Callithrix jacchus: one gene and its partners. The protein of the gene in region 1 purifies or fractionates together with the protein of each later gene. This does not show direct contact. Links are inferred from orthologs where the notes say so. Each region holds a gene or a part of one and is shown in the gene's direction. Other genes may lie near its edges.

The links.
Region 2: the proteins of PPP1R12A (region 1) and PPP1CB purify together in Homo sapiens (affinity purification with mass spectrometry; 6 studies listed by BioGRID and IntAct, with this or other methods). This does not show direct contact. The link is inferred for Callithrix jacchus from reciprocal best matches to the Homo sapiens genes PPP1R12A and PPP1CB.
Region 3: the proteins of PPP1R12A (region 1) and RPA1 fractionate together in Homo sapiens (co-fractionation; 3 studies listed by BioGRID, with this or other methods). This does not show direct contact. The link is inferred for Callithrix jacchus from reciprocal best matches to the Homo sapiens genes PPP1R12A and RPA1.
Region 4: the proteins of PPP1R12A (region 1) and RHOA fractionate together in Homo sapiens (co-fractionation; 3 studies listed by BioGRID and IntAct, with this or other methods). This does not show direct contact. The link is inferred for Callithrix jacchus from reciprocal best matches to the Homo sapiens genes PPP1R12A and RHOA.
Region 5: the proteins of PPP1R12A (region 1) and PPP1CA purify together in Homo sapiens (affinity purification with mass spectrometry; 3 studies listed by BioGRID and IntAct, with this or other methods). This does not show direct contact. The link is inferred for Callithrix jacchus from reciprocal best matches to the Homo sapiens genes PPP1R12A and PPP1CA.

What each region holds. Positions count from the first base shown.
Region 1 is NC_133510.1:82,498,317-82,501,832, reverse strand, and holds part of PPP1R12A (protein phosphatase 1 regulatory subunit 12A), read left to right. Parts: intron 1-388; coding exon 389-479; intron 480-1,605; coding exon 1,606-1,806; intron 1,807-2,029; coding exon 2,030-2,198; intron 2,199-3,516. UniProt on the Homo sapiens protein: Key regulator of protein phosphatase 1C (PPP1C). Mediates binding to myosin. As part of the PPP1C complex, involved in dephosphorylation of PLK1. Capable of inhibiting HIF1AN-dependent suppression of HIF1A activity.
Region 2 is NC_133515.1:86,265,300-86,268,815, reverse strand, and holds part of PPP1CB (serine/threonine-protein phosphatase PP1-beta catalytic subunit), read left to right. Parts: intron 1-464; coding exon 465-695; intron 696-3,181; coding exon 3,182-3,286; intron 3,287-3,516. UniProt on the Homo sapiens protein: Protein phosphatase that associates with over 200 regulatory proteins to form highly specific holoenzymes which dephosphorylate hundreds of biological targets.
Region 3 is NC_133506.1:66,377,741-66,381,256, reverse strand, and holds part of RPA1 (replication protein A 70 kDa DNA-binding subunit), read left to right. Parts: intron 1-800; coding exon 801-869; intron 870-1,011; coding exon 1,012-1,204; intron 1,205-1,533; coding exon 1,534-1,673; intron 1,674-2,053; coding exon 2,054-2,202; intron 2,203-3,516. UniProt on the Homo sapiens protein: As part of the heterotrimeric replication protein A complex (RPA/RP-A), binds and stabilizes single-stranded DNA intermediates that form during DNA replication or upon DNA stress.
Region 4 is NC_133516.1:31,971,342-31,974,857, reverse strand, and holds part of RHOA (transforming protein RhoA), read left to right. Parts: intron 1-1,829; coding exon 1,830-1,950; intron 1,951-3,516. UniProt on the Homo sapiens protein: Small GTPase which cycles between an active GTP-bound and an inactive GDP-bound state.
Region 5 is NC_133511.1:124,477,340-124,481,548, reverse strand, and holds the start of PPP1CA (serine/threonine-protein phosphatase PP1-alpha catalytic subunit), read left to right. Parts: upstream 1-1,394; 5' UTR 1,395-1,491; coding exon 1,492-1,546; intron 1,547-2,076; coding exon 2,077-2,208; intron 2,209-2,364; coding exon 2,365-2,595; intron 2,596-3,318; coding exon 3,319-3,423; intron 3,424-3,821; coding exon 3,822-4,045; intron 4,046-4,128; coding exon 4,129-4,209. UniProt on the Homo sapiens protein: Protein phosphatase that associates with over 200 regulatory proteins to form highly specific holoenzymes which dephosphorylate hundreds of biological targets.

The sequences.
Region 1 (3,516 bases):
AAACAGACAAACAAAAAATTTATCCCTTATACATTCTGTTTAATTGGGCAAGATGAAATCCTTCTGTTTCTTTCAGTAGAGCTGAAACTTTTAATTTTCAGTTCCCTAAATCCTTTTTTAAAATGTAGTTTCATCTTAAATTACATGATTTTTTTAAATGTAGTTAGGAAGTTAAAATGTGATATTAAAGTATAATTAAAATATAGTTCCAATCTAAAAAGAAATTATTAGATTGCATTATTGAGTTTCAAAGACCATTTTCTGAAGACTTTTTCTTAAAACTTACTAAAATACTAAACTTGTGCGCTTTGTTCATATACATTGATAAGATACTTACATTCACAGGTATTATATTTACAACTAATGATTTTTTTATTTATTATTGTAGATCATACCTCACTCCTGTTAGGGATGAAGAGTCTGAATCCCAAAGAAAAGCAAGATCTAGACAAGCAAGACAATCTAGAAGATCAACACAGGTATCGTTAATATAATTAATATATACAACTTACATAAGTAGCATGTAAAACATATATATATATATATATATATATATATATATATACATACATGTATACACACACACACACTTGTAAAACAAATTACCTTTCTCTTTTTCACTTTGTTGTGAAAATATTGATGTCAGTATATAGTATGAGTAAATCCTTAAAAGGTAAGGATCGCTCTAGTAATTCTCCCACAGTCTTTTGTATGGTTTCACTGTTACTATTATATTTCATCTAATTAGCATACTTGTTTGTGTCTTTTTGAGTTTTTTTAAATCCTTATTTCTAATACAGCACAGAGTATTGGTGTTAGAATGAATTAATCATATATGATGTCTAATAACTGAGTATTTGGAAGGTGGGGGGCAGAGAATAGTCTCTTATATTAGGTATATTAAACAGCTAATGTTCAAGTATGAAAAAAAATGCCATTCAGGCTGGTGATCTCCTTACCTCCTCTTTGCCATTCTAATTATGCTAAATATGATGTATACTTTTGTGTCTCTTTTCCACAGTCCAGATTCAGCTGTCTTATCCTTACCATTACTTAGCTTACAAGCTGAACTATTTGCTAGGGCCTTAATATACTTTTTTTGTCTTTATACTTTTCACTTCTTGAAATCTGACCTGTTCTTTAAGGTCAAATCTTGAAAAATTTATTGAACTCTCTTTTAAGCCTTAACAGTTATCATGCATGTATGTGTTTATGTGCACACGCACACACACACACACATAGACATAAATATTTATAATGTAATATACAAACAGTATATATGTTGGCTATTCTTCCCTACTCTGAACTTGTGGGGAACACTTATATGCATAAAGTATTTGTCATATCTTTTACCATTTTGTCAATTTCTGAATACAGAGGTGATTTCTTATCTACATTTATATCTTCCCCAGTACCTATCATTGTGCTTGCTAATGGTGATTCTTCATAGAATGAATGTAACTTGCTGTTTCCATTTGCAAACCAATTCTAAACATGCATATTTGTCTTTTAATGCATTTGTATATAATATATCCATTACTAAAATATTCCTTTGAAACAAGATTTAATGCATCTCATAATTATATGATCTTTTTGTGTGTACAGGGAGTGACATTAACTGATCTTCAAGAAGCTGAGAAAACTATAGGAAGAAGTCGTTCTACTCGAACCAGAGAACAAGAAAATGAAGAAAAAGAAAAAGAGGAAAAAGAAAAACAAGATAAAGAGAAACAAGAAGAAAAGAAGGAGTCAGAAACATCTAGAGAAGATGAATATAAACAAAAGTACTCCAGAACATATGATGAGGTAACAGTATATCAAATGATATGAACAGTTCTTACATCCTCAGCATGCAAGAGATTTATATACCAACAAACCATATACAAAATACTTCAGAGAATTTTAGCTGGAAATCTGAATTACTTTGGCATGATTAGAACACTACTTTTTCTTTGAAACGAATTTTTAAATACTTTATATGTTTTTGTATTTAATGTTTCAAATGGATTTTGATCTTAATGTTTCACAGACTTATCAGCGTTATAGGCCAGTATCAACTTCAAGTTCAACCACTCCATCCTCTTCACTTTCTACTATAAGCAGTTCACTCTATGCTTCAAGTCAACTAAACAGGCCAAATAGTCTTGTAGGTATAACGTCTGCTTACTCCAGAGGAATAACAAAAGAAAATGAAAGAGGTAAGAATACTAAATTTTGAAAACACTTTGCTTTCTTTGTATAATATAATTCTTTGAATTAGGGTTTCCTAAATAATAATTTGAATAAAAAGGAACAACATCCTAACTTGTGATTCATTGAACCTAAACAGAAAGAATATGAAGGTCGAGAATGAGAAAAGTAGAAAACAGATATAGAAAATAGTATGACCTACAGTTGATTTTAATATTTTTATAACCCAATGCTTCACAAAAGTCTTCATGTCCACCTATAAAGAAAAGTTAATATTGAACTGGTGGGTGACTATTTCTAGAAGCAGTTCATTAATGTAGTACTTCTCAGATGCTTTAAGCTATTTCTTGCCTACTGTGGAGAGCATACCATTTAAATGTTTTTTGTGAAATTGTTGTAAACTAAAATTACTTAATACATGTAACGATCTCACCAAACACATTTTTTATGCTTATTTCTTGAAAAATACATTTCTTTCTCAACTATATATTGGCATATTGATACTCATTATTACCATTTCCTATTTTATATAAACTTTCTATTTAAATTCTGAGTAATTCCTACTTTAAATCAGAGATAAATACTAAATAAAATTATTTTTAATTATAGGCTTTATATATTTTAAAACTGTTAGGAGTAAGGCCTGCATAGTGTTTGTGAAAATTTGTAACCAACATTTAAAACTAGACATACTCACTTCAAACTTCATATTTTTGGCATTTCTTGAAAAGTAGGCAGATCCGGCAACACTGGATCTGAATTCTCACCTATCAGCAATTAGCTGGAGCTATGTAGTAGCAGCTGCTTGCGTTCCATCCCCCTGGATAGTCCCCTGGCCCATTTTACCCATTGATATTACCTGGATAGCTGCTGTGGGCATTGGAGTTTGAGATCTTTGCCCTAAACCTATTCCAAAATAGCTTTTAAAACTTCTTAATACTCTATTGGGGTGTCTTAAAATCATTTTGTTTCATGTACATCTGTATTTATTAGCATATTCATAGTCTCTAATATTCTTCTAGTGTGTAAGCCTGAAGCCATTTTAACTGTCTCAGGAATGAAACGGAAATACTAAAACTAACATTTTTGTGCTGATTCATTTTTAATAAACATTTTCCGGAAAAAAACAGCCTTGCTCTTGGATACTAACTAATGGAAATGAAATGAAGCGAATATTGTATCACTGCCTGGCAAAGACTGGCAATATTAGAAGCAGAAACTAATAAATTTGATTCCCGCTAGTTGTTCCATCATTAAGAACTGTTTTTATTCCATATAGTTAGTGTCAGCTTTGAATATAATAACGATTTCCTTCTCAGGCCTTAA
Region 2 (3,516 bases), on another chromosome or scaffold:
ATCTCAATTTTTGTGGGTCAGCTTAGTGGGTCCTCTGGCTCTGGGTCTCTCACAAGGCTCCAATTAAGTGTGATCTCGGGCTGCAGTCATCTGAAGGTTGAACTATGAAAGGATTCAGTTCCTTATAGACTGATGGACTAAAAGCCTCAGCTTCAAATGAGCTGTTGGCCAGAGGCCTCCCTCAGTTCTTTGCTACATGGGATGCTTCTTCATTAGATAGCTGGTTTCATCAGCAAGTATGAAGAAGGTGAGAGTGCAAACAAGATGAAAGTCACAGTCTTTTGTAACTTAATCTTGGAAGTGACAGCCCATCTCACTTTTGCTTGTTAGAAGTAAGTTACTAAATATAGCCCATACTCAAGGGCAGGGGAAGATTACACAGGATGTAAACGTTGGGAATCATTTCAAAGAAACTGCTTATAACAGTAACCAATTTTTGTAAAACTGACTTTTTCTCTTTTTAGGAGATATTCATGGACAGTATACAGATTTACTGAGATTATTCGAATATGGAGGTTTCCCACCAGAAGCCAACTACCTTTTCTTAGGAGATTATGTGGACAGAGGAAAGCAGTCTTTGGAAACCATTTGTTTGCTATTGGCTTATAAAATAAAATATCCAGAGAACTTCTTTCTCTTAAGAGGAAACCATGAGTGTGCTAGCATCAATCGCATTTATGGATTCTATGATGAATGTAAGTGAAAATAAAGACTTAGAAAAGTAATTCATGGAAGGATTGCCAAATAATTTTCTGGTTCAGAAGAGTTCCTTTGATTCAGAGTTTTTTCAAAATAAGATCTATCAGGCATACGCCAGGAAGAGGAACCTGAAACTGGGAAACGTCACTAATTAAATTGGTTCCTTCAGATATCCTTGGTCATGTTCCAGATTGACTGCAGCTTACCTGGCTGAAGAGGTTCTTTTAAAATTAGTTTATCTAGTAAACCATCCAGGCAAAACAGAAGTCTGTGGCTTCTGGTTTTCTATTGTCCATTAAGGTTTTAGCTCTCAGCATTCTTGTGGTATGACAAAAGCTCTTATTAGTCCTGTGTCACAAGAGTTATTGAGAAGTTCTATGAAACTATTTAAAAGTCAAAGTTTAATATTATTAGAATTTAAATCTGTGTCTATAAACCTTGAAAGACAAAGATACTGAATACTCTGGGGTATCCTTAGTTTTATTCTCTTTTTCATTAGTAGCAAATCACTGATTTCGTTTTGTGCAGTAATGTTTCCAAGTATTATTATTAAAATACCCTACTAGATTCAAATGTGGTCTTTTGGTTTTATTAGATAAGAGTGCAAAAGTATATGTTTGGTTAATTACAACTTAGAATCAGTTGTGATTTTCAAATTGATTTCTTTTCATTGCTGTTTTCCCTATTAGAATCTACTTTTGCTCTTTTTTTAATCCTTAATTTTGTTAGAGACTTATTCAAAGTCGTCTTCTCGATTTATATAATGATTTGACAAAGTTTGAGGGTATATGTGCCAGGCACTATTGTGAACACTGTGCATGAAGCACTACACAATACAGATGATCTCTGTTCTCATGGAGCTTACATTCTAATAGGAATGATTCTGCATTTGATTTTATATTATATTTTTATTTCTGAGATGTGCTGTGTGGTTTGAATTACTTAAATCAGACTAGAAGAGAGAAAGTGGGTTTGAGTACATCAAACTACAACATTCTTCCTAAAGCTACATCAGAGATGGAGGTATATTTTTAAAGGATAAAAGATAGGCAGGAATGTCCTTGGGGATAGAAATGACATCAAATAAAATAATGTATAGGAGAGCAACTTGTAAACAATACTTTGAGTTATATACTTATAAAGGAGCAGGCTGTGGCATAAAAGCACAGGAAGTTAGTACTTACGTCTTTCATCTCTTCCCTAGGTTAGCAGTTGTACCTTATTACCAAATTCAGGAAAATCAAATGACTCTAAAAAGGTGAACATACACTTGAGGTTGTCTTTGTTGTAGCTTTTTATACTAGGCTATAGGAAAATTATAGCCTTTGTGCCTTGGCACCATACTTGCTATAGTGCCAAGTTGTAATTCACACAAAGGAGAATACCAGTTAAACACTTGGAAATTTTCCTTCATTGGCAATAAGTTTATACTGTGTTTCTCAATACACTGTTAAATGGACAGTTTCCAGAGGCAACCTTTCCCTTTTGCTTGCTTGTTTGGCTAGTTCACACATTGGAGAGGAAAAAATGAACTATGAGGCCTATTAGACTGTTTAAAAATTGCTATATTATAGGCTGGGCGCGGTGGCTCAAGCCTGTAATCCCAGCACTTTGGGAGGCCGAGGCGGGTGGATCACGAGGTCAAGAGATCGAGACCATCCTGGTCAACATGGTGAAACCCCATCTCTACTAAAAATACGAAAAATTAGCTGGGCATGGTGGTGCGTGCCTGTAATCCCAGCTACTCAGGAGGCTGAGGCAGGAGAATTGCCTGAACCTAGGAGGCAGAGGTTGCGGTGAGCCGAGATCGTGCCATTGCACTCCAGCCTGGGTAACAAGAGCGAAACTCCATCTCAAAAAAAATTGTTATATTATAATGATCTTAACAGGCAGACTGTTTGATGAATTTCATAAAACCCTTAGCACAATCTGTGGGTTTTTTAAAGTGTTAGATTTGATTAGGTTTATTTAAGTTGTCAGAAATTGTATGTATTTGTGATGGACAACATGATGTTTTGAACATCATGAGAGGATCTTATCTTCCTGCCTATAACCATTGCAGAATGGTTAAATCTAGCTGATTTAACATATGCATTATCTCAAAAGGTTAACACTTATAATTTAGTATTTTGCAAAGATACAATATAGTGTTTTGACTATAGTCACTATGTTGTACAATAGATCTTATGTATTTATTCCTCCTACCCAACTGATACTTTGTATTCTTTGACCAACATCTTCCCATCCCACCCTTACCCCAGCATAATCTTTGAAGTCTTGGTAACTTTACTGAAGGTATTGAATATTTACTATATTTGTTGCCTTTTAAAAAGTATGTAAATAACATTTATGCATTATAGAAAAAGTTCTGTATAGATAAACATGAAGAAAGAAATGAAATCATTCATAATGCTATGGCTTTGAGATAACAGATGAGAACAGTTTTAGATTTTTTAATTTATTCTAACTATTCTTTTTATAGGCAAACGAAGATTTAATATTAAATTGTGGAAGACCTTCACTGATTGTTTTAACTGTCTGCCTATAGCAGCCATTGTGGATGAGAAGATCTTCTGTTGTCATGGAGGTAGACTAGCAAATTTGCCTTACAGATTTTCTTATTTTATTATTCAGAAAATACCTACAATAATTAGACTGTGGGAAAACAAAGCAGTGCTTGTGTGAAAGCTCAAGTGATTTAAAACTGTTTTAAACATGGCTAAAACCTCTTTTAATAATTACAGATTTATTTATAAATGAAAATGTAATGCTTTAAATATAGTTTCACATATGAAGAGGATAACTGGAGTTGTTGAA
Region 3 (3,516 bases), on another chromosome or scaffold:
CAGCAAGCTAAGATTGCATGACTGCACTCCAGCCTGGGCAACAGAGCAAGACTCCATCTCAAAAAAAATAGAAATAATAATATAATGATGTCTAAATCAAACTGCCACATATTTCCTGTTTGTTCAAACTCCCAAAGGCAGAGAAAAAAATAGATTTTTTGGGGGTGGGAGGAAGGATGGTATAACACCCAAAATGTTTGACTGTGTGGTGGCAGAATCAATATTAGAACCTTTTTTTTAAACACATTACTGCTCTAAAGGTTGGCTACAGTTTCAATCATTTAAGTTTCTTGTCCACCTATAGCATTTTGGCTGAAAGAAAAGCAAAAGTGAAAATCAGATCACAGGCAACTTGAAAACATGACTTACTGTGACATTTGTGGCAGTGGCTCCCGAGCATGGAGTGATTGTCACTGAGAAGGCACTGGGGGAAGCGGGAGTCATCCCAGCAGCAGCCTGCTGTGGGCTCCAGTTGTGTCACTCAGTGGTCAGCGTGGTTTGGTTTTTATCGTCAGAATACTCCACTCGACACTACCCTTTCGTTCAGTTCTCAGTGTCTCACTTGAGGTTAATGCAGCATGACTATGGGACCAGCAATTGAAATTCTTTTTTCAGCAGGCTAATGACTTGAATGTGTGACTATAAAATGCGGGTTTCTGGGATGTCTGGAGCCCTCTCTGGGTCCCCTTTGTGTCTCACTGCTCTGAAGATGCCATTTTGATGCTGAGGTGGCCTATGTTTCACTGGTCAGGCTTGAAGTTGAATCCCACAGTCCTAACTGCTCTCACGTGCTTCCACAGGCTGAAATCAGAGCTACGGCTTTCAATGAGCAAGTGGACAAGTTCTTTCCCCTCATTGAAGTGAACAAGGTATAGTAGTGTCGGCTTTGGGGCCGACACTCACTGAGGATGAGAGGACTGTGGTCCAGTGGAGGGTTGTGTGGTGGCAGACCAGGGTTTCTTGTCCAATTTGATGACAGTCTGAAGTTCTGTGGCTTGGCCTCCTTTGCAGGTGTATTATTTCTCAAAGGGCACCCTGAAGATTGCTAACAAACAATTCACAGCTGTTAAAAATGACTATGAGATGACCTTCAATAATGAGACTTCCGTCATGCCCTGTGAAGATGATCATCACTTGCCTACCGTTCAGTTTGATTTCACAGGGATTGATAACCTAGAGAGCAAGTCTAAAGACTCACTTGTCGGTAAGTTGGTGTATGGGAAGGAACAGCAGTGATGAGTGGTATTCTGTGCAGTGTCCAGGGCGGTATTCCTGTGCAGCGTGGGGAGTGGTATTCCTGTGCAGTGTCCGAGTCGGTGCTCCTGTGCAGCGTGGGGGGCGATGCTCCTGTGCAGTGTCCAGGGCAGTGCTTCTGTGTAGTGTCCGGAGTGGTGTTCCTGTGCAGCGTGGGGGATGGTGCTCCTGTGCAGTGTCCGGGGCGGTGTCAGACCCCAGTGCCTGCCATTCACCCTCCCATCCCCTTCAGCTGGAGCCCTGACGGTCTCCTGCTAACACGTTGTGGGTGTGTTTCAGACATAATTGGGATCTGCAAGAGCTATGAAGATGCCACGAAAATCACAGTGAGGTCTAACAACAGAGAGGTTGCTAAGAGGAATATCTACTTGATGGACACGTCGGGGAAGGTGGTGACTGCTACACTGTGGGGGGAAGATGTAAGTGAGGGCGGAGCTGTCAGCGCGCACGGGAGGAGCTCCTGGGGGAGCAGGTGGTCTTGTCCTATGAGTTGGGGGCTTTGGCCGTGTAGATGGGAAGGGCCGTGCTGTCTGGCAAATATTTGAAATCCTTTATCTTCTGTGAGATTTGCTGTGATTCAAGCTTTACGGAGGCAAATGCTCCTCCCCCTAACTCTGGGAAAGTAGTGCTAGTTTGATGTGTCTTTGAGAAGATCGTTATGTGTGAAGTCTGTCTTGTGTAGATTCTATGTACATTGATTACATTCACTCACTATTGACTGTTTGCCTTGTTTTCTATAAAAACCTTCTGTGTTCTTCCTGCGAGTGACACGTGTGTATGTCTGGTGTTTGTTTTACAGGCTGATAAATTTGATGGTTCCAGACAGCCTGTGCTGGCTATCAAAGGAGCCAGAGTCTCAGATTTCGGTGGACGGAGCCTCTCTGTGTTGTCTTCCAGCACCATCATCGTGAATCCTGACATCCCAGAGGCCTATAAGCTTCGTGGATGGTAGGTTTCGTGAGGTGAAACAAAGGGCTGTTTGAGACTGGGTTTGAGGAGAGCTGGTTACCATGTGTGAGCCTCTGCCAAGCAGAAGTCTTTGTTAGGGAAGTGAGTGGTGCATTCGTTTCTTGGAGGCGTTTTACCTTCTGAGAAGATGGCTTTAAAACCCTTGAGCTGACAAACCTGGAATCACATCACGAACCAGAGAGTCCCAGGAGGCGATTAGAATGTGGTGCTGCCTGCTAACCTCGGTCCTGCCAACGAGCGCGTGGCAGGTGCTGAGGCGTCTTTCTTTCCAGGGTTCACACTCCAGGCCTCTGTGGCGTGGGGGGAGCATGTGCTTTCTTTTTCTGTCGAGTGTTTGGTGCTGATCTCATCTTCCAGTGTGTATTCACTGGACTCTGATAAAGTGTGGTGAGAACAACAGGCTTTTTGTTAGGATTAGATTGTTATTCCCATAGCACTCAGGGGATGAGAAGAGGCTGTTAAAATCTCCTCACTGTCTCTAGCCTTTTAGGACATTAAAACTCGGTCTTAAAAGAGTACTTGAAACTGAAACACAGTATGCAAGGATTGATGTGGTCAGGCAGGCGCTTTCACTAGCCCAGCTGAAATAACTCCTGTAGCTCTAGTCACGGGGCTAGCGTGTCGGTTTCCAGCTGTGTCTTAGGATTTAAGCAGCTACAGAATGAGTTCATTTTACATACTCCTCCTCTGCTTTGAGTCATGTGAACCAGTGGCACTGGTGTTTGACCAGTTTCATGAAGCATGTTGTGGAATGTTCATGTCACGTAAGCCACCCTCGTGAGCACAGTCCATACATCTCTACTGAGCTGTTGTGATAGCTGGCATTGTAGAAAGCAGGGCCCAGTCTGACCAGAAATAGCCGCAGATTGCTTTGGTCTTACTGCTTGATTTCCTTTTGGGCTGTGGAACTCGGCCCCAGGTTAACTGCATTCCCACATGAAGGTCTTCATATTTTACTTGTCAATAATCATGATCCCAGTCAACATAAGGAGCACGGCTGTCCCCAGAATCAAATAACCTGGCACTGATCAAAGGGCTGCTCAGTGTGCATACTTTACCTGGACGGGGATTAGAGGTGTTTAGATCTTGGCTGTGACCATGCAGGATTTTGATGGGGGTGGCCTGTCTCCATGCTCTGTTGACTCCTGATGAGTGCATGTTCCTTGGAGTCTTTGAAACCATAAACTGGTGTAGCTGCTGGTGGTGAAACAGACGTACGGCCTTTGCTGTGCCCTGTGGGGGATTTAGACGCTTACCTGACAGGAGAAGGCGGCTGTCTGCAGCATAGGGTGA
Region 4 (3,516 bases), on another chromosome or scaffold:
CAGCAGTTTGGGAGGCCGAGGCAGGTGGATCACGAGGTCAAGAGATCGAGACCATCCTGTTCAACAAGGTGAAACCCCGTCTCTAGTAAAAATACAAAAAGTTAGCTGGGAATGGTGGCACGTGACTATAATCTCAGCTACTCAGGAGGCTGAGGCAGGAGAATTGCTTGAACCCAGGAGGCGGAGGTTGCCGTGAGCCAAGATCTCGCCATTGCACTCCAGCCTGGGTAACAAGAGCGAAACTCCATCAAAAAAAAAAAAAAAAAGAAAGCCCCTTGAGGTGGTGGCTCACACCTGTAATCCCAGCACTTTGGGAGGCCGAGATGGGTGGATCACAAAGCCAGGAGTTCAAGATCAGCCTGGCCAAGATGGTGAAACCCCATCTCTAATAAATAAAATAATCAATCAATCACATCTGCTACAAATACTGCAGACCTCACCTCTTCCCCTGGCTATCTTGCCCACATTAGTTTCAAGGCCTCTCACAATAGTTTCAAGGCCTCCCCTTATCACCTCCCTCCTCCACCACCCTGCAGTTAACAAGTGTGTGCACCTAATAACCTGTGGAAACCAGAACTTGGGGCCAGTGGTCCCCATGCTTGTGTTGGTCCCCTGAACCCATGCTGTAAAATTCTACTCTTCTGTCTTTGTCTTTATTTCCTTTTCTCAATCCTTTGTCACCGCCAAGACTAAGGGCACCCATGAATGGGGTCGGGGCTGGTACCCAACAAATTTACCCTTCTATTACAGGAGGTTGAGCATGTACCTGGATGTGAAAAGAGTGCTCTCTCACCTTATGTGTTGCATTATTTCAGCCATTCAGACATTCTTGAATAGTAAAGGCACAGCCAAAGGTCTCTCCTGTCATCTCAGGCCTTGCCTAACACCCAGCGTTGTGTCTTTTCTTTCCTACCAACTCAGAATGCAGATTTGTCTCCATGTTTCCACATTGCAGCAGAAAATTTACTTAGTGTGGTATCTCCCTTTCTTGTCTGTGTACCTGGTGGAATGTTATTTAAAATTTTATATCTTCTCTCCTGTCTGTCTGCTTTCTTACCTAGTACAGTGTTATTTATAATCAAATACTTATAAGCTATGTTATTTTTGACTTGACATTTTGAATTTTGCCACTTGGTTCAGTTCTAGTATCTGGTTGTTGGTTTTTGTTTTTTTTTTCCTAACGGAGACAAGGTCTCACTGCCTAGGCTGGAGTGCAGTGGTATGATCTCTGCTTACTACAAGCTCTGCCTCTCGGGCTCAAGGAATCCTCCCACCTCAGTTTTCCAAGTAGCTGGGACTGCAGGTGTGCACCACCATACTCCGAAATTTTGCTTTTGTTGCTCAGGCTGGAGTGCAATGGTCTTGGCTTGTCTCAACCTCTACCTCCCGGGTTCAAGTGATTTTCCTGGTTCAGCCTCCCGAGTAGCTGGGATTACAGGCATGCGCCATGATGCCTGGCTAGTTTTGTATTTTTTACCAGAGATGAGGTTTCTCCATGCTGGTCAGGCTGGTCTCAAACTCCTGGCCTCAGGTGATCCGTCTGCCTCGGCCTCCCAAAGTGCTGGAATTAAAGGTGTGCACTGCACCCAGCCCACACTCAGCTAATTATTAAGGATTGCTTTGTAGAGATAGGGTCTCAAATTTCCGATTTTGACAAATTTCAACCTAAAATAAATTAAATATACTTTAATTTGAGCTTGATGCTCTTAAAAGTAAATATTCTTGTGTTTTACTGTTTTAGACTGTCATTTGAATGTACTATGGTTAGTGTCACTTAAGTGTGTAGTAGCATTAACCTTGAGCTCTTGTGGTTGTTTTTCCCATTACAGGTAGAGTTGGCTTTGTGGGACACAGCTGGACAGGAAGATTATGATCGCCTGAGACCCCTCTCCTACCCAGACACCGATGTTATTCTGATGTGTTTTTCCATCGACAGTCCTGATAGTTTAGGTGAGTGGTCCTGCGCCCAGTGTTTGTCACTGCAAGATGTATCCACCTAGGCTGGGCGAGGCAGGTGGGTCACCTGAGGTCAGGAGTTGGAGACCTGCCTGGTCAGCATGGCGAAACCCTGTCTCTACAAATACAAAAATTAGCCGGGTGTGGTGACATGCACCTGTAATCCCAGCTACTTGGGAGGGTGAGGCAGGAGAATCCGGGAGGCAGAGGTTGCAGTGATTTGGAATCGAGTCATTGCACTCCAGTCTGGGAGACAAGAAAATCTCTGTCTCAAAAAAGAAAGAAAGAAAATGTATCTAACTTGTTGGGGGATAGTTGCATGTGCCTGTAATCCCAGCTACCCAGGAAGCTGAGGTAGGAGAATTGCTTGAGCTCAGGAGTTTGTGTTTAGCCTGGGACTAGTGACCCCTGGCTCTAAAAAATTAATTAGGTTCAGGTGCTGTAACTCTTGCTTCTAATCCCAGAACTCTGAGAGGCCAAGGTGGGAGGATCACTTGAAGCCAAGAGTTTCAGATCAGCCTCAGCAACCTAGCAAGACTCCTTCTCTATTAAAATTAAAGGTTTTGTTGGAAGGCCGAGGCGGGTGGATCATGAGGTCAAGAGATTGAGACCATCCTGGTCAACATGGTGAAACCCCGTCTCTACTAAAAGTACAAAAAATTAGCTGGGCATGGTGGTGCATGCCTGTAATCCCAGGTACTCAGGAGTCTGAGGCAGGAGAATTGCCTGAACCCAGGAGGCGGAGGTTGTGGTGAGCCGAGATCGTGCCATTGCACTCCAGCCTGGGTAACAAGAGTGAAACTCCGTCTCAAAAAACAAAAATAAAAAATAAAGATTTCGGCCGGGCACAGTGGCTCATGCCTGTAATCCTAGCACTTTGGGAGTCTGAGGCAGATGGATCACCTGAGCTCAGGAGTTCAAGACCAGCCTGGGCAACATGGCGAAACCCTGGCTCTACAAAAATGCAAAAATTAGCTGGGCCTGATGGTGTGTGCACCTGAACTTCAAGCTACTTGGGAGGCTGAGGCCGGAGAATCATTTGAGACTGGGAGTCGGAGGGTGCAGTGAGCTGAGATCATGCCATTGCACTCTTGCCTGGGTGACAGAAGTGAAATTCTGTCTCAAAAGATAAAGATTTTATTTGAAAATAATTAATTTGGTCAGATGCAGTGGCTCACACCTGTAATCCCAGCATTTTGAGAGGCCAAGGCAGTTGGATCACCTGAAGCCAGGGGTTCAAGACCATCCTGGCCAACATGGTGAAACCCCGTCTCTACTAAAAATATAAAGATTAGCTGGACATGGCGGCATGTTCCTATAATCGAGCTACTTGGGAGGCTGAGGCATGAGAATTGCTTGAACTGGGAGGCAGAGGTTGCAATGAGCTGAGATTGCGCCCCTACACTCCAGCCTGGGCTACAGGCCAGGTGTGGCTAAAGGCTCTGTGCGGATGCTCATGCCTGTAATCCCAGCACTTTGGGACGCTGAGGTAGGCAGATCATTTGAGATCAGGAGTTTTGCCTTCACACAGGTTAACTTGGAAGACAGAGGTGCTTTGGC
Region 5 (4,209 bases), on another chromosome or scaffold:
ATCTTCTCTGTATCGTTCCAATTTTAGTATATGTTCTGCCGAAGTGAGCACAATTTTTTTTTTTTTTTTTTTGATACGTTCTCTCTCTCTGTCACCCAAGCTGGAGTGCAGTGGCGCCATCTCAGCTCACTGCAACCTCTGCCTCCTGGTTCAAGTGATTCTCCTGCCTCAGCCTCCTGAGTAGCTGGAACCACAGGCACGTACCACCATGCCCAGCTAATTTTTTGTATTTTTAGTAGAGACGGGGTTTCACTGTGTTAGCCAGGATGGTCTCAATTTCCTGACCTTGTGATCTGCCTGCCTTAACCTCCCAAAGTGCTGGGCTTACAGGTGTGAGCCACGGTGCCTGGCCAATTTTTGTGTTTTGTGTTGAGACGAGGTTTCGCCATGTTGCCCAGGCTGGGCGCAAGAGATCATTATGCCTCAGCCTCCCAAAGTGCTGGAATTACAGGCCTGAGCCACGATGGCCAGCCCACCTCCAGTTTTGAGGTTACTGGTGTGTAAAGCACCCAACTCAGGGTTCCAACAGTAATTACGGTTCATGTAATGTCTACTCTTTATAATTCTTTTTACGTGCACACCCTGCAATATTACTGTGCTACTCAAAGCTTATTATGGGGCCAGGTGTGATGGCTCAGGCCTGTGATCCCAGCCTGGCTAGCATGGAAACTCCCCGTCTAATAAAAATACAAAAATTAGCGGGCGCGGTGACATCCGCCTGTAGTCCCTGTTACTCTGGAGGCTGAGGCATTGTCATCGCTTTAACCCAAGAGGGGAAGGTTGCATTAAACCAAGGTCGCGCCACTGCCTTCCAGCCTGTGGGACAGAGCAAAACCCGCCTCAAAAAAAAAAAGCTAATTATGGGACTTATAAGAAAATATTAATTTAGCATGCCCCAAGGACCAAAGTGCGCTGGGAATTCTAGCTGTCTTTGAGTGTGGTCAGCCGCCTGGGGGCCACGGAGACCCACGAGGAAGGGGGTCCTCGGTGCAAGCGAGGTCCAGGTCTTGAACCAGCCTGTCGCTATGTCTTGAACCTCAGTTTCCCTTTCTGCATTTGGAGAAGTTAACCCTCAGTGCGGGGCAGCCGGTTATTAACGTGTTCACGACACCCTCCACCCAGGGCAGGGGTGGGAAGGGCTGTTCAGCTTTTGAAAGAGAAAAACAACTTCCACATTCCTTCCGGCCCCACATCCTCGAAACGGAGCTGGGCGCCTCCTCTCGGGCGTAACTAGCCTCGGCCCCGCCCCCGACAGACACCGCCCCCAGCCCGCCGCCGAGGCCCCGCCCCCTGGGCCTCCGCGCCTCACATCCAGCGGGGGCGCTAGAGCGCGGGGGGCCGGGCAGGGCGGGCCCGGGAGGCCCGGAGGCGGAGCGGCGGGCCGGGGGCGGACTGGGGCGGGCGGAAGGAGAGCCAGGCCGGAAGGAGGCAGCCGGAGGGCGGGAGACGGGAGCGGGCCCGGAGCTGCTGGACTGGAGCGGCGGCGCCGCCATGTCCGACAGCGAGAAGCTCAACCTGGACTCGATCATCGGGCGCCTGCTGGAAGGTTGGCCGGGGTGGGGAAGGTCCGCGTCCGCCGCGCCCTGGACCCCTGCCCAGCCCGGAAGTGGCGCGCGGGCGGGCCCCCGGGGCCAGCTTAGACTGGGCGGGGACGCGCCGCGAGGTTCCGTGGCCGCAGCCGCCCCCCCCCGCGGACGCGCCTGAGAGGTCCGGGGCCGGCTTCGAGGCGCGGAGCAGCCCCCTCTCCCCGGCCGGGGGCTCACGGGTTGCCTCGGCTCTTGGGGCGAGGGAGAAACCCGGGAAGCCCGGTCCAGGGAGGTGTCTTGCGCTGTGAGGTTTTGGGCGGCAGCCCCCTGCGCACGACAGTCGCCTCCCGAGCCTTTGAGGATAACTAGGGGGGCTTCCCTTGGGAGGCTTGAGGCCGACGTCCCAGGAGGCTCAGCAGCAACAGCTGCCTCTGGGCAAGGAGGGGCCGAGGAGGCCTAGGCGCCCCCGGAGGTATCCACGGGGCCACCGTGTCGCCCACCCTCCCCCTGTCTGAGAGGCCAGGGTCCTGACTCCGCATTGCGCCCCCAGTGCAGGGCTCGCGGCCTGGCAAGAATGTACAGCTGACAGAGAACGAGATCCGCGGTCTGTGCCTGAAATCCCGGGAGATTTTCCTGAGCCAGCCCATTCTCCTGGAGCTGGAGGCACCCCTCAAGATCTGCGGTGAGCAGCCCCCAGCCTCGCCCAGGCCCCTTTGGCTTCCTAAAAGTGGCACTGGCCCCCACAAAGTTCCTGGAGCCCTCCTCCCTTGAGCCTAGTCCTGGCCCTGGGTTCAAGTCTAGACCCAGCATCTAGCTTACTCGGTTCCATGGGTCACAGGTGACATCCACGGCCAGTACTACGACCTTCTGCGACTATTTGAGTATGGGGGCTTCCCTCCGGAGAGCAACTATCTCTTTCTGGGGGACTATGTGGACAGGGGCAAGCAGTCCTTGGAGACCATCTGCCTGCTGCTGGCCTACAAGATCAAGTACCCCGAGAACTTCTTCCTGCTCCGTGGGAACCACGAGTGTGCCAGCATCAACCGCATCTATGGTTTCTACGATGAGTGTGAGTGGTCTGAGCACCCAGGGTTGCCCGGGTCCCGAAACGCTCCTTGCTATTCAGTGGGACCCTCACATTGGCTTCGTATCTGACAGACACTTGCTAGACTGTGCGCTCCACGAAGGCAGGGCCCGCTCCATTCTCGTGCCTGCCCTGCCCTGCCTGGCACGGGGTCTGGGGCATGGTTGCTGACTGGAAGGCTGCTGGTATTCTGGTGCTTGCTCCCAGGGCCCTGCCTGGTGAGGCTCCACTTACATCTGCTACTAAGCACTTAGGATGTGTTTGCAGATGGGCTCAGCTGTCCAGAAGCTGAGATAAACCAGACCTGTACTTGGCCCAGCTTATGGGTGGGGGTGTTTGGGGAGTGCCAGCCCTGAGGCCGGTCCAGATTGGAACTCAGTTTTCATTGGACTTGGGTGCTTTAGAATTACTTCTGGCAGGAAGATCACTTGGACCCAGGAGCTCCAAGTTACAGTGAGCTATGATCTCGCCACTGCACTCCAGCTGACCCTGGGTGACAGAGCAAGACTGTTTAATTAAAAGTTAAAATAAAAAGTAAAGAGAATAGTTCCTGGAAGGCTGATAGGCTGCAGGGGCAGGAGTGGGGACAGGGGCAGGGTGCAGGGTGGTTTGCCTCCAAGCCTCTCTCCTCCCATCTGCGTCTGAATAGCCCAGGGACCCAGGTGGAGGGTGGGGTAGGCGGGCCCCTCACAGCCATCTCCTGGGCAGGCAAGAGACGCTACAACATCAAACTGTGGAAAACCTTCACGGACTGCTTTAACTGCCTGCCCATCGCAGCCATCGTGGATGAAAAGATCTTCTGCTGCCACGGAGGTGAGGGAGGGGACGGCTGGGGACAAGGAGACCTGGCCGCATCCCCCATTGCCGGGCCAGCTCTCCTTAGGTCTGTCTCATCTGGGAAGTCACTCCTTCTGGGAAGTGTCTCCCATACCCCTGTGCCGGGCTGCGCTGACTCCCTTGTGCATCCTACATGGAATAGGCTTGGCTTGTCTATCTCCCGGGAGCTCTGCGCTCCTGAGGGCGGGGACATCTTTGTGCCTCTTTGGGAACCTGCAAAAGCTGAGGGGAAGGGGATGACTTCTGCCGCCTGGGTGCCCAGGTGACCTGTGGAGGAATCAAGGGGGCAGTGGGAAAGGTGAGGCTGATTGGCCACAGCTTCCTGGAGTGAGGATGTCCTTGTTTGAGGATGTGGACTTCCCCCGGTCCCCCAGGCTTGTCCCCAGACCTGCAATCCATGGAGCAGATCCGGCGTATCATGCGGCCCACAGACGTGCCTGACCAGGGCCTGCTGTGTGACCTACTGTGGTCTGACCCTGACAAGGACGTGCAAGGCTGGGGCGAGAACGACCGTGGCGTGTCTTTTACCTTCGGAGCCGAGGTGGTGGCCAAGTTCCTGCACAAGCACGACTTGGACCTCATCTGCCGGGCGCACCAGGTGGGCTGGCAGCTCTGGCCTGGGGTGGGAGAAAGGGAGGCCAGTGCCAGCATGCAGAACTGACTGCTCTGGTCTGCACCCAGGTGGTAGAAGATGGCTATGAGTTCTTTGCCAAGAGGCAGCTGGTGACACTTTTCTCAGCTCCCAACTACTGTGGCGAGTTT